Canis lupus familiaris: one gene and its partners. The protein of the gene in region 1 binds, or shares a complex with, the protein of each later gene. Links are inferred from orthologs where the notes say so. Each region holds a gene or a part of one and is shown in the gene's direction. Other genes may lie near its edges.

Region 1 (5,002 bases):
GCTGGGGAGTCCAAAGCTCAGTGAGAGTGCTTCGCTGTCTGTGCTGACCCAAACTGTGAGGCTCTCATAGTTAATCCCAATTCTGGAAAAAGTCCCAATGACTAAAACTGCTTTTTGTTCATTATTGTGGGTAGCAAACCTCAAGTTGAGGGAGAAAGCCAGGTGCTCATTTTCAGGTGGTGGTTTGTTGCATCAGCCATGAGAACCGCAGAATTCTACTTGAAAAGCAGTTTGGGGTGGGTTGGTGGTTTTCCCATATTTAAAGTGTACCTGAGTAGTGCACCTGGTTAGAATTTTGAAAGGAACACTAGTAGAAAAGGCCTTTATGCTGACCTTGGATTCAAAAAGGAGGCTGTTGAGCAAGGACAGATGGAAGAAGCGAAGTTTTCTCTTCTGATCTGAATGAAGCTGTGTATTGGGATAGATTTCCTCTCCCTGTCACTTGTTTGCAGTTTCCCGCCACACCTCCATGTTCTTGGTGTAATTTTTAGAGGCTGTGTGCAAAGAGCAAACAGGTCTCTTTTTTCTCTCTCCCCCTTCCCTGCAGTTTTGGGGAGTTTTGCCTGGCTCACCTGTTGCTGAAGAGGAACCCTGTCATGTTCTTCCAGCACTTCATTGAGTGTATCTTCCACTTCAATAACTACGAGAAGCATGAGAAGTATAACAAGTTCCCCCAGTCGGAGAGGTCAGTGGAGCTCTCGGGAAGGGCAGGGCGAGTGGTGGGAGATGGGCAGCTGCTTTGTACGAGTCTCGAGGCACAGACCCCGGCCCTGGCGCTCCTTGTGGCAGGCCTGCCTTCTCTGGACAGGGTGATGCGAGACCATTCATTCGTCCAGTGGCGTCCCAAGGAAGTGCCTCTGAGAAGCATAGTCATCTCAATCATGTACCTCCACCGTGGGTAGACAGTTTTTAGGATGCTGGAAACTGCTGCTGAAATGAACATCCTTGCACCCTTGCCCACATCATGTGGTAAAATTGTCCTGTTTTGTCCTAGAGAGAAGCAGCTGTTTTCACTGAAGGGAAAGACAAACAAGCAGAAACGAATGAAAATCTACAAATTTCTTCTGGAGCACTTCACAGATGAACAGCGATTCAATATCACTTCCAAAATCTGTCTTAGCATTTTGGGTAGGCCTGGTGTGTTTGGGATAAAATGTATATTTAAAAATGAAATGCCCTGTGGCTGGCTAATGGCTCAGTAGATCTCTAGCAAATGAGCCCCTGATACTGTGGGAAGACTCTGGTTTTTTCCCTTCTTTGACATCAGCTATGCCCACTTGAAGCCAAGATGAGCCCTCCTCTCTCTGTGGGCTACCCTTTCCCACCCTGGGGCTGACTTTCTCAGAAGCTGACCTTTTGTGCTCTTTCTCAGCATCCTTTGCCGACGGCATCCTGCCCCTAGACATGGAAGCCAGTGAATTGCTCTCAGATACATTTGAGGTCCTCAGCTCTAAGGAAATCAAGCTTTTGGCCATGAGATCTAAAGCAGATAAGGACCTTCTGGAAGAAGATGACATGGCCTTGGCCAGTGCAGTCATGCAGGAAGCTCAGAAGAGGCTCATCTCACAAGTGAGTGTCCTTCTGTAAACGGGCCTGGTTACACCCCCGTGCTCCTCTGCCCCTCCCCTGAGTACTGGTGGTCTGCCTCAGATCCACATTTAATTCTTACCCGTGGCCTTAACACTCAGCCCAATGATGACGATTCTCCCTCTGTGTGTAGCTCCACCTTCTCCTGTGGCCTGAACCCATCCCACTTGTCTGCTTGGATGTGCCACAGGCCTCTCAGACTCCCTCTGCCAAAACTGAGTTACTCCTCCCTTCTTCTTCCTCTCCGTCTCTTCTCCTGAAGTCTCTATCATGGAGAAGGAAACCATTATCTACCAAGTTGTCCCCAAGAGGACCCAGTACTACCCCAGTCTGAAGTCTGGCATGACAGACCCCTGCTTCGTTTGGCCAGAGTGGGAAAATTGGGATCAGACTCAGAGTGGTGCCTGACTGCCGTAGTCCTCACCAGGCCCAGGTCTTACACCAGCCTGGATCACTAGGCTGTATTTCCCACCTGAGTCCTGAAAGCTTCAGACCCTAAAGAAATAGACTTGGGTCACCGTCCAGGATGTCACCAGATCCTGTCCATTTTATCTTGCGAATGCACCATTCTGTGCTCTCCCATTCTGAGTAGCTCTGCACTTGTTTAGCTGGTGTCATTTCTGGCGGTTTCCTCACTCTGCACCCTTTGTGTCTCTAGTTTCTTTCTTTTCCAGGCTGTGCACCACCTTGCTGCCACAGCAGTCTCTTACGGACAGATTTGATCATTTTATTCTCCCACTTAAAAGAGACTAGAGGCAGATAGGCTGCAGAGGGCAGCAGGGAACTTCCAGGGAGACTGGGGTGATTAAGCAGACTGTGGTTTGGGTTACTCTATACCGTTGTCAGACTCGTTAAACTAGTCACTTAACATGGGTACATTTTATGGCATATAAGTTATGCCTCACTAATGCTACCTTTAGTCTGTAGTTTGGTAGCTTCCTATCATCTTCCAAATAAAATCCTTCTCCCAGGCACATGGAGCCCTGGGATGTCTGTCCTGCCCCTGCACCCCTCATCTCCATGCTCCCCTCCCTGATCTCTCCATTCCAGGTCACTGTGGGTTCCTTGAGTGCACTCCTACTGTTGTGTCTTTGCACACTGTCTGCCTGCCTGCAGGGCCTCTCCTACCCTGTCCTTTCCTGCTGCCAAATTCCTACATCTTTTCAAAAGATGGGCCTACCTCCCTAGGCATCCCTTTTCTGTAAGTTCCTCACCTTTGTGCCACTTATCACACCATGCCACCCATCGTAGCACACAATCTGGTCTAGAAGTCGCTTGAAGGCAAGAATTTCTGGCTTCATTTTTACATACCCAGAGGCTAGCTTTGTGTCTGGTTCAGAGAAGGCGTTTGATAGTATTGATTGAGTTGAATGCATTTAAGCCACTTTTTAAAACTATCTTTAAACTTACCATCTGTTCAAACTCATATTTATTAAAGTGTTTATTTCTCTACTGATTGACCTTTTATTTTAGGAACTCTGATAAGACTTTTTAGAAATGGTGATTTACAAGCAAGGGACGCATACTAGTGACTTTAAACGAGAAGAAAAAATACTTTTCAGATTAAGAAGGATAAATCTTACTACATATATGGGCTGCTATAATGATTCTTTTTAATTCTAAAAGATTTATTAGAAAATATCTCTGGGCAATGATTATTTGTGATTAAGAATATGAAGGCTTGGTCAAATCAGGTACTATGTAACTACATAACACTTTTCTAAATGTGTGTGGAGTTATACACACAAAAAGAAATACAACACCAACTCTCCGTGCTTAGCCATTCTCAACCATTTGTTACTTCCAGCAGGAATACAAAATGTCCCTTTTGGGTAGCCAGAAGTAGACTCATTTTCATTCCAAAGGGAGGATGCTGAGTGGAGGAATTGAGCGGATCCAAGATGGGTTTGTGTGGAGGTTTGGAGATTGTTAAATTATTCAGCATATTTCTAATTCCTGTTTCATGTTTAAAAAGTAAGAATAGCATCCATCCCCATCCTACTTCACGCAACCTTCTGAGTGTTATCAAGCTCCCAGGACCAAGGTGTCGGCTCCTAGGTAGTTCCGCCGTGCAGGAGGAGCCAGGTCAGGGAGAAGCCTCGGTCTCAGAACCTTGTCCATCTAAAGCACGCCTTTGTTTGTATTATTACAGGTTCAGAAGAAGAATTTCATAGAAAATATTATTCCAATTATCATCTCCCTGAAGACTGTGGTAGAGAAAAATAAGATCCCAGCTTTGCGGGAACTCATGACCTATCTCAGGGTAAAGATGACCTTGTGCTTTGTGGTCAGTGTCTCTCGCCTCCAGCTCATTACTCAGGATCTGTCACAGTTCCAACGATGGAGCAGTTGGCTGGTGATCACAGGAACTCAAAATGCTATAAAACCAGCTTTACATTTTTTTAAGTTAGACCAGCCAGACAGGTCTTTGTCGGGGAGAAGAGAGCGTTTAACCGTAGGTTCCTCAGAAGTTGGTTCTTGGCTTTCCATGCCGTTGAGTTTATGCAGGGCTAACTCACTGTGCTGAGCATGTGTGTCCTTGATGCCAGTTTTGAGATTCAGTTTCGAAGCCTTTCTCAACTGGGGTAAAGTACAAAAGAATCATCTTAGTTCATTCTGGTGAGGGATAAAGTGAAATCGGGCATTATGTTCAATTTGGGGATGTTAACCTTTAACACTGCCTCCACATCAGAAAATAGTGCGTCTTGGGGTGCACCGATGGGGCCTGGGCCGCCATCACTGGTGGGATCCGGGGCCATGAACAGTCCTGGTCGAAGCACCCAGGATATGTAGACTTGTCTTGCAGACATAAATGAGACTCCTGACCTTTCTGGCAAAATTTTTCAATCAGCAATAAAGGGAATGTTTTTTCCTTTCTGTTCACACTATGCTATTTTCTTTCTCAAGAAATGCTAAACACATTTTTTCAGTAAGGGCTACAACCAAATTACATTGGATATAAATTCTTCAAATAGCTCTTTTAACTAAAGGAAGTTAAGGTAGGAAAGATAGGCTCATTGTGTGGAAAAAAATGAGAACTTCCAGTTATTCTTATGTTTTTATTGCCCAGAGTGTTTTAGAGCTCTGAGAGGAAAAAAATAATTTAGATCCTCAATAAACTAAAGGCTTACGAACGGTAAGTCCATCCCGTTTCTGAGCATCCGTCTGGAGGATGGCCAGCAGCTGCCGTGTTGGAGCAGCACAGCCCTCATTCCCTGGCAGCCCTCCGTGACAGCGGCTGCGCCTGTCCTCCCCAGGCCTGTGCAGCCCTCTCTTCGCAGTGGCTGGAGGGTTCATGGATTTCCTTCCCTTTGTTGGGACTCCCTTGTGGGTGGGTCTACGATAAATCTTCTCCCTCTAATGCTGTTAGGTAAGGTGCTGTCTGCCTCTTAGCAGAGAGGCCTGGTCCCTGGTG
Region 2 (5,002 bases), on another chromosome or scaffold:
GAGGCAGGGGCTGAGATTTGGATTATGACAGCCCTTCTTTACCATGTTATCCTGAGAGGAATGGGGGCTTGTATACACATAGGTGGAGAGTAGTGAAGAGGCTGTGCCCTGCACAATGGTGGTTGCATTAGGAGATATGGGTGCCTTTGCAAGCTGTCAGGTTGCAAGGTGGTGGTGCTCTTGACTGGATGTAGGCCACGGTGGATTCCAGGTTCTGACTTGTGGTGCCTTTCAGTAGGAAGAAGGCAGGTTTTAGAGGGACGATAGGCTCCATTTGGGACATTTGGATGACTGCCAGGGGGATGTGCACACGATGACCAGTAGGTGGATCAGTAGCTGTACCTAAAGCCCAAGAAAGAGGCCTGCATAGAGACAGATTTGGGTGTCCTCAGTGACACTTGGAAGCTTCAGTCATGGGAATGCAATGGGACCATCTGTAGTGTAAGAAGAGAAGCCTAGGACAGAACCTTGAGGAACCCCAACAGTTAAGGTATCAATTCTAAAACACTTGTGACTTTGGGTCAGAAGATGCATGTCATTTGTTTTGCTCATGCAGTGAAAATTAAGTTAGTAGTAATTAAAAAAAAAAAAGTAGTAATTAAGTAGAGAGAAACCTAATAGAAAATTTATTGCTAGCAACATTTATGAAGTTTTTTTTTTCTTCTTTTTTAAGAGATTTTATTTATTTATTCATGGGAGACACAAAGAGAGGCAGAGAGAGAAGCAGGCTCCCTGCGGGGAGCCCGACGCAGGACTCTATCCCAGGATCCTGGGGTCACAACCTGAGCCAAAGGCAGACGCTCAACCACTGAGCCATCCAGGCATCCTGGAATTATTTTTAAGAGGGAAATGAATTATGATATGATTTCATATTGTAAAATAGTACCCTGTAAACAAAAATAGTCAGTACAGACTCACAGGCAGCACATCTCAGAAGTGTCTGTTGAGAGCACACTATTTAGATGTTATATAAACACTTGTTTTAGTAGGAGTGTAGATGATATGTCTTCTGTTATGTGTGCAATACACGTGTGGTTTAAAGTTTACAAGATTATTGTTGCAAACTTTTGTCATAGTATTAACTACTATCACAAACTAAATTGATGATGATGAGGCTAGTTAATATTAATTTAAAATCAAAAGGCCAAAATAGCAACATCTGGGTAGCACAGTCCCTACAGGATCAGGCTGATGTAGTGACAGGGCGCCCTTTGAGATCCTTGTCCGCAGCTACCCCTGGTCACATGCCCTAGTGCCTTGGACTGTTGCTCAGCAGCACATATCTCAGGAGGATGCTGAGTTAGTCATTGTATTCATAGTCATTCCTTTTAGCTTATGAGTAGCAAGCCTTATTAACACTTAATTATTTAGTATCTTAATCACCGTGTAGCTATTAGTTAAACACGAAAATGAGAAGATGTAGGATTATGCATCACTTGTTTTCTTCGAGTTGAATGATATGAAATGCCATTCTGTAGGTCAGAATAGTTGAGTGTAGGCAGCTGTTTGGTGGCATATCCTTCAGTTTGCACTTCTTTGATGATTTGGTTAAATTCATTTTATGCGTTTTGACAGGAGCTGCATAAGTGGTGTTTTGTCTTCCTCAGTGGAGGCACATGATGTCCGTTTGTCCTGTTATTGCTGAGGTTAGTTTTAATCAGTCACTTAGGTTGGGGCTATACCAGATTTCTCCACTGTCAAGCTGCTGTTTCCACCTTCGTAATTAATAAGTGATCTTAATTGGGGAAGTAAGTTGAGATTAGGTAAATACCCTGCTCTTCATCAGACTTGTACCTTCTGGTTTTAGTGTCAATTGATGATTCTTGCCTGAAACATTTATTACTATAATGGCTATTATAGTATATAGTATAGAAAATTGTGATTTTCTAACCCCATATTCCTTCCATATTTATTCATTGGTGATCTATAGCATGCTGATGCTGTTTGTTATTTATTTATTTATTATCAGTTTCGTTTCACTGGTTCTTACTTTATTGATTGGGTTATAATCCATTACGGTCACTTGATTGGTGCTCACATTGGCTGCACACAGTCCCTTTAAGATGAATGCTCTACCCCTTTGGTAATGGTTTCTATTTGCTGTATCAGAGAGTAAGCTCATCAGCTCAGAGTGAGAAGAAATGGTTGGCTCGGGGGTTTTAGGGATAGTTGAGAGGATCCGATATAATCTCATTGGTTAAAAGAAGAGAATGATGTCTAGAGATGAGTAAGAGGGGGTGTTGAGGGTCCAAGTTGGGTTAGAGATCAGCAACTTCAAGTATACTCAGTTGGCTTGGCTGTGTTGTTGTTCTTGTACAGCTCCAACATACTTTGTGCCCTGATGATAGGCCTGGAGTGGTGGACATCTGGATGGATTGATTTTAGAGAGGATATTTCTAAGTGGGTAAAATTTTTAAACTCCAAAGACTAGGTTACTAGGGCTGAATATATAGATGAGAAACCTGCTACTTTCTTATTTTACTTTTTGAATTTACTTATTACACAGAGTGAGAGTGTGTACACACAAGTGAAGAGAGGGACAGAGGGAGAGAGAGAAGCAGACTCTACGGGGCTCCATCCCAGAACCCTGGGATCACGCCCTGAACCAAAGGCAGATGCTTCACTTACTGAGCCACCCAGGTGCCCTGGCATCTGCTACTTTCTGTCTCATAATTCCTGTACTTTTCCACTTAGGAAAAGTATTTCAAAACTACAGCTCAACTCTTGAAATGGTCATTAGCTTAGCACTTAATGAATGCACTTAATTTAGCAAAACTTCCTTTTGATGCCATTATAAAGGGGATAGAACTAATTTTTGTAATTGAAATATAACAATTGCTATTTATTTTGCAGAAAGATGCTTCTGACCCTTTCAGCCTAAATGAATTACTAGATGAATTATCAAGGAAACAGAAAGAAGAGCTATGGCAAAGGCTCAAGAATTTATTAACGGGTGTATTGTTAGAAAGCCCTGTGGCTGAGTGGCAGACGTTGGAAGTCCAGGGTGAAGACATTATGGAAACAGAGCATGAATCAAAAATGGTAGTAGTAATTTTTCAAATAGAAAACCTGTTACCTTTAATTTGTTAAAAAAAAATATTGTATGTAATTGAATTTTAAGTGATGAAAAAAAGCTAGAATTTAAGAAAGAATATTAGGAGTATGTTTATTATAGTTTTACTTTAAACAATTCTGCCCATTATTAATCTGCTATTCAATGTTGCTGTTCTCTTTGGACAACTGACCTGTATTCAAATTTAATTTACTTTTTAGAATAAGCTAGAAGTGTGGGTTAATTTTTATAAAGTTAGTAACATTCACGTTTCTTTTTAAAATTCTATTTTAAGTTGATTTTAAGTCACTTGAATTTGAATTTTTTCATTTGTAGAAAAACAGCATAGAAATAATTCATGCAATTACATGTGTGGTTCTTGCTTCTGTATCTGTAATAAATGAAAGTGAGAACTATGAAGACTTACTGGAATGTGCAGTGATGTTGAATGGTGAGTTGCATTTGTGATATCATGGCATGTTTAGAGGTGGGCATCTACTGGTTCTCTATGGAAGGAGCCAGTCTTCATGTAGAAGCAGAAGTATTAAGGTGTAACTTTGCTTTTAAGCTCTTTTACTTCAGCTAGAAAAGGAGCAAAGAAGTATTCTTTTTTTTTTTTTTTAAGTTTTTTTTTTTTTTTTTTTTTTTTATTCATAAGTGACAGAGAGGGGCAGAGACACAGGCAGAGGGAGAAGAAGGCTCCCTGTGGGGAGCCTGATGTGGGACTCAATCCAAAGACCCCGGGGTCACACCCTGAGCTGAAGGCAGATGCTCAACCCTTGAGCCACCCAGGTGTCCCAAGAAGTATTATTTTAAGGGCTATCCTGATGCACTGATTTAGAATGTAAATTACTGAACAACTGACTGCTGTTCTCAGATTTTCCAGTACGTCTTATTTGACCTATGGGACCAGTGGTAAGAGCTTATTAAGGAAAAATGGTCAGATTATAAATTCCTCAGTTGGTGATTACTGCCAGAAAGTTTCAGTTTAACCAAGCATTTGTGACGCTGCATCATTTTTTAAATATGTTATGAAAGTGACCTGAGAAATAGGTGTTGACAATTAGGGGAACTTTACTATTAAAATTTGTATCATGGTGCTTTTCAGATTTTAATTAAACTGTAAAACTGTAGTTTCTAATTTAGGAGGAGCACTAAGAATTAATGAGAATATCTAATTATAAAATACATAAAACTATTTTACAGATATAAAAGATGCAAAAATGATTTTAAGTAATGAGAAGAAAAATCACCTAAGTGTCCTCACTTTCACATTGTAATTAATTCTGTATGACACGCTTTCCCATCAGACTTTGCATTCTTAGTGCTAACACTTAGATGTATGTAGATGTTTTATTCAGAATTCTTGCATTGAAATACAATGTCTGATTAAGATGTTAGCCCTAATCAGTATATAAATAGTTCCCAGTGTTTTGTGAATGTAACCATAGTTTATTTTCAGTCTCCAAATAACTTTTATAAATGATTAGTGCTGATATTGTAGTTGTTTCTAACTTCCCATTAATTCAGGAATTTAACGTGTATGTAATGGCATTCAGATATCTATGGATTATAATTATGAACATATTATTAGTATTTTCATTTCATTCTTGAGCTTTTCAATTAATAAAAGCACTGCAGTTTTTGTATTCATTTTAATAATTCTTTTTTTTTCCATTTTAATAATTCTTTTACTGTTTTTCGCCAGTGAGCCAGAATTTGAGGCCAACTTATGAAGGACAGTTGTAGTGGGTTACTGGTCACCACACCTGACCTGGGTTTGGTGTTGAGTATTACCTGTGGGTGTTGTAGTGCTTACGTTTGGGTAGTATGAATACCTGCCTCTCTTAAACGAGGAGTTTGGACAGTGTGACCCTTCTGAGTCTTACAGTACTAAAATTCTGTATTCTATTGGATCTGCTTTTATAACAGTAGTTAACAGTTTTTTAC
Region 3 (5,002 bases), on another chromosome or scaffold:
AGTGTTTAGAAGTATGTGATGGGTCCCAGCTAGGGAGGGGCGAGCGACCTGCATTCAGGCCTGACCAGCACAGGACACAGTAGCTTTACTGGGGGCACCAGAAGTTATTAAGATAGTTTGAGATCTCATTGGCTTTTGTCCTAGATAATCCCATTAAGTCAGATTCCTATGTCCTGCATGTGTCCTGAGAAGGAACGTCTGCACAGACGTGCAGTGACAGATGTGCGTGTTGTAAAGCAAGTGCAGTGACATGTTAATAATAAAGTCTGGAAGGTGTGGGGGGTCAGCACCACCCAGGAGGACTTCCTGAAACAATGCAGACGGCCTGTGACCTGGGCTGTCAAAGATGGTAAGTACTAGCAACGCCTCTCTGCTCATTCTCTATGAAGCGGGAACAGCGGTGGTACGTAGTTCAGGTAGACTGGATGGGGTGAAGCCCGAGTCCTGAGACGTGCTGGACACTTACCAAAGTCACTATAAATTAATCCAAATAAATGGGGCCCATGTTCGAAGGACCACCATCCGCATGGTCACCATCGTGTCCAGTGTCTAGTGCAGAGCTCTGTGCATAAAAGAAGGATTTCATGCAAACTTATGGCATGAAAAAAAAGAAGCAGGGCCAAGAAGAGTTGCTTGTGTCCTTGGGCACGGTTACCCCAGAGGGAACGGCCTGGAGGGGGCACAGGTGCACAGCCTCCTGGCCAGCATCTCGGAAGTCCTGACCCTCACCGTGGGGGTGGGGTCCCACGGGTTGTGGCTGGGGCTTCTGGAGATGGGGCAGTGGTGGCCCAAACCTGCAGGAGGAAAGGGGGCAGCTGTGGGTGCTGGGCGGGAGCAGCATGGACCTGGGCCAGCGGACCGCATGCGGGCTGGTGTGTAGGGTGTGAAGGCAGCCACTCGTGTGGCGTGCGGGGCCAGAGGAAGGGGAGAGGACCACACTGATGAGACATGTCAGGTGGACGTTGGCAGAACTCTGCTGGGAGTTTTGGAGAGGACGGTGGGCTTCTGTGTGTGTCCGCCTTTGGGGAGGGCCAGGTTGCATTGAGGTCGGCTTTCCTTCCCGCTCCTCACTGTCCGCTTCTCGTCACCAGGTGGAGTACCTCTACTCGCTGGTCTACCAGGCTCTGGATTTCATCTCCGGCAAGAAGTGAGTACTGGTGGTGAGCCAGGAGGCGGATGCCCATGTGTCTGCCCTGCGTGCAGCGTGGGAGGCCCCTGCAGCCTCCCAGACACCCATGCACTGGTTCTCTCTCAGGCGGGCCAAGCAGCTCTCCTCGGTGCGGGAACACGGGGCCGATGGGGACACCAGCTCCATGGCTCCCCAGGAGGGAGAGGACCAGGTGAGATTCTTGGGTGTGTGGCCGCTGCCCGCTGTGCACTTGCCTGGCGCTGCTCCTGAGCTCTTGTCCCCGCATAGTTCCTGTCACTGGATGACCTCCCTGACGCCCGCACTAACGTGGATCTGAGGAGTGACCTGGCCCCCCGTGTGAGTGCCCCTCCTTCTGTAGGGGCTGCACTTAGCTGACAGGGGTTGGAGGGATCATCCCATATGGGTTCCCCACCTGGAGCCCACGGGACCTGTGGCTCACCCACTGTTGGCCTCCATGCAGGAGATCCTCATCATCCCTCTCCTGCCCATGGCCCTTGTGGCGCCTGATGAGGTGGAGAAGAATGTCAGCCCCCTGTACAGGTATCGGCCTGAGCCTGGCTGAGGGGACTCAGATAAGGGGAGAGGCTGCTGGGCAAGGGTCTCTGCAGTGGATGTGTTTTGCCAGCACAGCTGTCAGGGGGAAGTCCTGGCCAGCCGGAAGGATTTCCGGATGAATACCTGCACCGCTCACCCCAGAGGAGCCTTCATGTTGGAGCTGGTGGGCATACCCCCCACGGAGACGCTGCTGCCGAGGAACCAGGAGGGTGAGGGCTTGGGTGTGGCGGGCTTGGGAAGGAGGGGTCCCCTGTGCCTGCCGGCTCTGGTCCCACCTCCCTCCCCGGGCACCTGCTGTGAGGATGTGTCTGAAGGTGCACATCCTCTTTGCCCCCTTTGCCTGTAGCTGGTTCAACCCAGGGTGCCTGGGTCCTGGGCCAGGTCTCTGTTCTCCCCGCTGAGCCCTGGCTCTGCTGGGCCCCTGGGAGGGGTCTCCTGGGGGAGGGGTTGGGCTGACCCTGCCCAATCCCCCTCTTTGCCAGAAGCTAAGAGGGCTGAGGAGCAGCCAATGGAAGTCTCTGCGTGCTGCCCAATCCCCGTGCTCAGCATCTCCCCGGAGCCAGGTGAGAAGGGAGCGTGGTGCTGCATTTGCAGGGTGTGGGTAGGGGTGCGCTGTGCTCAGCCACCCCAGGGGTGAGGTGTGGGGAGCAGCCGTGGCTCACTGTGCTGTCTTGGTCTCGTGACTGCCCTGTGACCATTCTTGGGCCTGTGAGGTTTGGGCCTACTGTTTCTCCCCTGGTAAGCACGGATGGGAGCGTTTCAGGAGGAAAATTGATAAAGGAAAATGAGCCAAACAGAACAGAGCGGTGTGACGAGAAGAGTGTGGAGTGCCCTGCTGCAGTCCCTGGGTCAGCTGAAGGAAGCCGAGTGAGGAGTGGCCTTGCAGGTTCTCCTGGGCGTTGGCAAGGCAGCCTCCCACCTGCTGTCTGCTCTCTACTCACCTGCTCAGGTACCTCGCCAGAGGATCCGCTGCCTGCAGGTGGTGGTGAGGATGAGGATGAAGAGGGGGCAGCAGAGCTCCCTGAGGCCATGGCCCCCGAGGTCCCCCAGGAGCCCCGGAGCCCACAGCAGGTAGGACCCCTACTGAGGCCTGCAGAGCTCAAGCCGTCAGCCAGGCAAGCGTCCCCACGCTCACGTGGGCCATGCAGTCCTGTCTGGGCACCCTCCAGACAGCCTTAGACCTGGCCTCACCCCCAGCTCTTTGGGGTGTTCCCCGCACGCCTTTCCTCTCTCTGAGCAGGACAGCTGCTGCTCCTCAGCAAGGAGCTGGGGTTCAAGGGCCTGTGCCCTATGCTGTTGTGGCTGGCACCTAGGATGGTGGCTGGTTTCCAAAGCTGACTCTTCTGGGGTCGGGCTGGCAGGAGGGGCCAGGCTTGAAGGCTTTTGCTGCTTCCCACCACCCTCATGGGTCACCTTTGTGTTTTGGCCTGGAGCTAAAAAATCTATTTTTATTTATTTTTAAAGATTTTATTTGTTTATTCATGACAGTGGGAGAGAAGCAGGCTCCATACAGGGAGCCTGACATGGGACTCGATCCCGGGTCTCTAGGATCACACTTCGGGCCAAAGGCGGCACCAAACCACTGGGCCACCGGGGCTGCCCTAAAAAAATCTGTTAGAAGAAAAACTCTGATGCATATAAGAAAGAGGTTAACGTTTGTTAATTTTGATCGATAGATGCGTGACATTTAAGATTTTTTTGTATATTTTAAAGAAAAAGGTACCTCACAACCATTTATTTATTTATTTGTATTTTCTTCTAAAATTTTTTCTTGAGTTTTTGTGGACCCTAAGAGGGTCCCTGCAGGGTTCTTGACGTCTGATGCCAGAGCACAGCTGCTGGTTGCCCAAGCCTTGGGTGCCAGGCTCTTCCTCCAGAGGAAGGGGAGGAGAGGGAGGAGGAGGGGGAGGAGAGGGACCCCCTGGAGCTGTTTCTTTGCAGAGTGCTGCCCAGCCCAGTGGGTGGGTGCTGCGGGAGCGACGGGAGCCAGCATCCCTGAAGGTGAGGGGCATGGGGGCTCAGACCAGGGAGGGTGTTCTTTGAAGCTCCACTGTCCCCCCCCCTCCCCCCAAACTCCTCCAGCTTTTAGAACCTGAGCTCCTAGCCTGAGGCCCTTTCTGTGGACTCTTTCTCAAGGAATCTTCCTTTCTCCAGAAATTAAGTCTGCTCTTCTGCCACTCTGGGGCTCCTCCCTCCCTGCTGTGTCACCATTAGGTCCTGAATGTGGCTGGCTCTTTGTGCTCAGTGTCTGGGCTCTGGGGGGGAGGGTGCACATCCTTAGCTCCCCACCCCCCACGTCTGCTTGTGCTCTGTGCTCAGGAGACTCCAGACCCCTGGCAGAGCCTGGATCCCTTTGACTCCCTGGACTCTAAGCCCTTCAAGAAAGGTAATTGGGTGGGTGCAAGGGGACACCTCTCTGGCATCTGTGGATGTATTCTCTGGAGCACTAGCATTTGATGAGGGTGGGCTTGTACCCATTGGGAGCCGGGTGGGAACTGTGCTTGTGCAGCTGTTCCTGGGGCCTGTGGGTGCCATAACCTACCCCAGGGCCCAAAGTTGTGCCCCAGACATAGTCGTTTGCCCCCAGGTAGGCCTTACTCCGTGCCCCCCCGTGTGGAGGAGGTTCCAGGACAGAAACGCAAGAGGAAGGGTGCCACCAAGCTGCAGGACTTTCACCAGTGGTACCTGGCTGCCTGTGAGTGGTGGGCTGGGGCTGGGCCAGGGTGGGAGGGTCCGGGGACAGCCTACAGGGACTCGGCCTCATTCCTGCCAACCAAATTCTCTTGAAGACGCTGACCATGCCGACAGCAGGAGGCCCCGGCGGAAGGGCCCGTCTTTTGCAGGTGAGGTCAGGGTTGTGTGCACTCTCCCGAGAGGTAAAGTGCTGTGGCATCATCTGTCTGGTTCCCCTGGGCCTGGGGGTGCCCAAGGCTCTAGGGAGACTGGGGTGGGGGCCCGGGCAGGACACGGGAGCACCTCTCACAAGGCCGTTGTGTACAGACATGGAGGTCCTGTACTGGAAGCATGTGAGGGAGCAGCTGGAGACTCTCCGGCGGCTGCAGAGGAGGGAGGTAGGTACTGGCCCCTGTGTGGAGCTCGCATGGCTCCTGCCGGGAGATAGCAGTGCCCCTCATGGGTGCTCTCTGCACAGTTGGGTGAGCGGTGGCTGCCGAGGCCTGACGAGGGGCTATGGCCTGAGGACGACGACAACCTGGAGGATTCCCTGGAGGATCTGAGGACAGCAGGTGGGAGCCTACTGGGATGGGCCAGGGTAGGGATTCACATCTGCCAGCCAAC

What was found.
Region 2: the proteins of NCAPD3 (region 1) and NCAPG2 are in contact, whole or in part, in a cryo-EM structure (PDB 9F5W), measured with the Homo sapiens proteins. The link is inferred for Canis lupus familiaris from reciprocal best matches to the Homo sapiens genes NCAPD3 and NCAPG2. Residues at the interface, in NP_056076.1 of Homo sapiens: Glu1213, Lys1216, Ile1217, Pro1218, Leu1220, Gln1247, Ser1250, Glu1251, Tyr1254, Lys1258; in NP_001268861.1 of Homo sapiens: Phe291, Lys332, Pro333, Ile334, Trp336, Lys340, Ala341, Arg342, Arg347.
Region 3: the proteins of NCAPD3 (region 1) and NCAPH2 are in contact, whole or in part, in a cryo-EM structure (PDB 9F5W), measured with the Homo sapiens proteins. The link is inferred for Canis lupus familiaris from reciprocal best matches to the Homo sapiens genes NCAPD3 and NCAPH2. Residues at the interface, in NP_056076.1 of Homo sapiens: Arg589, Pro591, Met629, Glu680, Arg683, Tyr684, His690, Lys724, Glu793, Asp800, Gln803, Arg804, Arg807, Gln817, Leu820, Gln865, Leu866, Cys867, Pro868, Ala869, Arg870, Val871, Val918, Ile925, Lys929, Leu932, Gln933, His934, Ala956, Asn960; in NP_689512.2 of Homo sapiens: Trp22, Ser68, Lys69, Glu72, Tyr75, Tyr79, Leu82, Asp83, Ser86, Ile144, Ile145, Pro146, Leu147, Leu148, Met150, Ala151, Leu152, Val153, Asp156, Glu159, Asn161, Asn162, Asn163, Pro164, Leu165, Tyr166, Ser167, Arg168, Gly170, Leu173.

The regions. Positions count from the first base shown.
Region 1 is NC_049226.1:1,096,424-1,101,425, forward strand, and holds part of NCAPD3 (condensin-2 complex subunit D3), read left to right. Parts: intron 1-547; coding exon 548-685; intron 686-994; coding exon 995-1,128; intron 1,129-1,372; coding exon 1,373-1,569; intron 1,570-3,739; coding exon 3,740-3,850; intron 3,851-5,002.
Region 2 is NC_049237.1:21,443,293-21,448,294, reverse strand, and holds part of NCAPG2 (condensin-2 complex subunit G2), read left to right. Parts: intron 1-1,575; exon of another isoform or gene 1,576-1,616; coding exon of another isoform or gene 1,617-1,646; intron 1,647-2,853; coding exon 2,854-3,042; intron 3,043-3,388; coding exon 3,389-3,503; intron 3,504-5,002. UniProt on the Homo sapiens protein: Regulatory subunit of the condensin-2 complex, a complex which establishes mitotic chromosome architecture and is involved in physical rigidity of the chromatid axis.
Region 3 is NC_049231.1:17,697,142-17,702,143, reverse strand, and holds part of NCAPH2 (condensin-2 complex subunit H2), read left to right. Parts: intron 1-1,091; coding exon 1,092-1,147; intron 1,148-1,255; coding exon 1,256-1,340; intron 1,341-1,417; coding exon 1,418-1,486; intron 1,487-1,610; coding exon 1,611-1,690; intron 1,691-1,780; coding exon 1,781-1,914; intron 1,915-2,187; coding exon 2,188-2,268; intron 2,269-2,654; coding exon 2,655-2,776; intron 2,777-3,646; coding exon 3,647-3,706; intron 3,707-4,024; coding exon 4,025-4,091; intron 4,092-4,292; coding exon 4,293-4,400; intron 4,401-4,494; coding exon 4,495-4,548; intron 4,549-4,705; coding exon 4,706-4,776; intron 4,777-4,856; coding exon 4,857-4,950; intron 4,951-5,002. UniProt on the Homo sapiens protein: Regulatory subunit of the condensin-2 complex, a complex that seems to provide chromosomes with an additional level of organization and rigidity and in establishing mitotic chromosome architecture.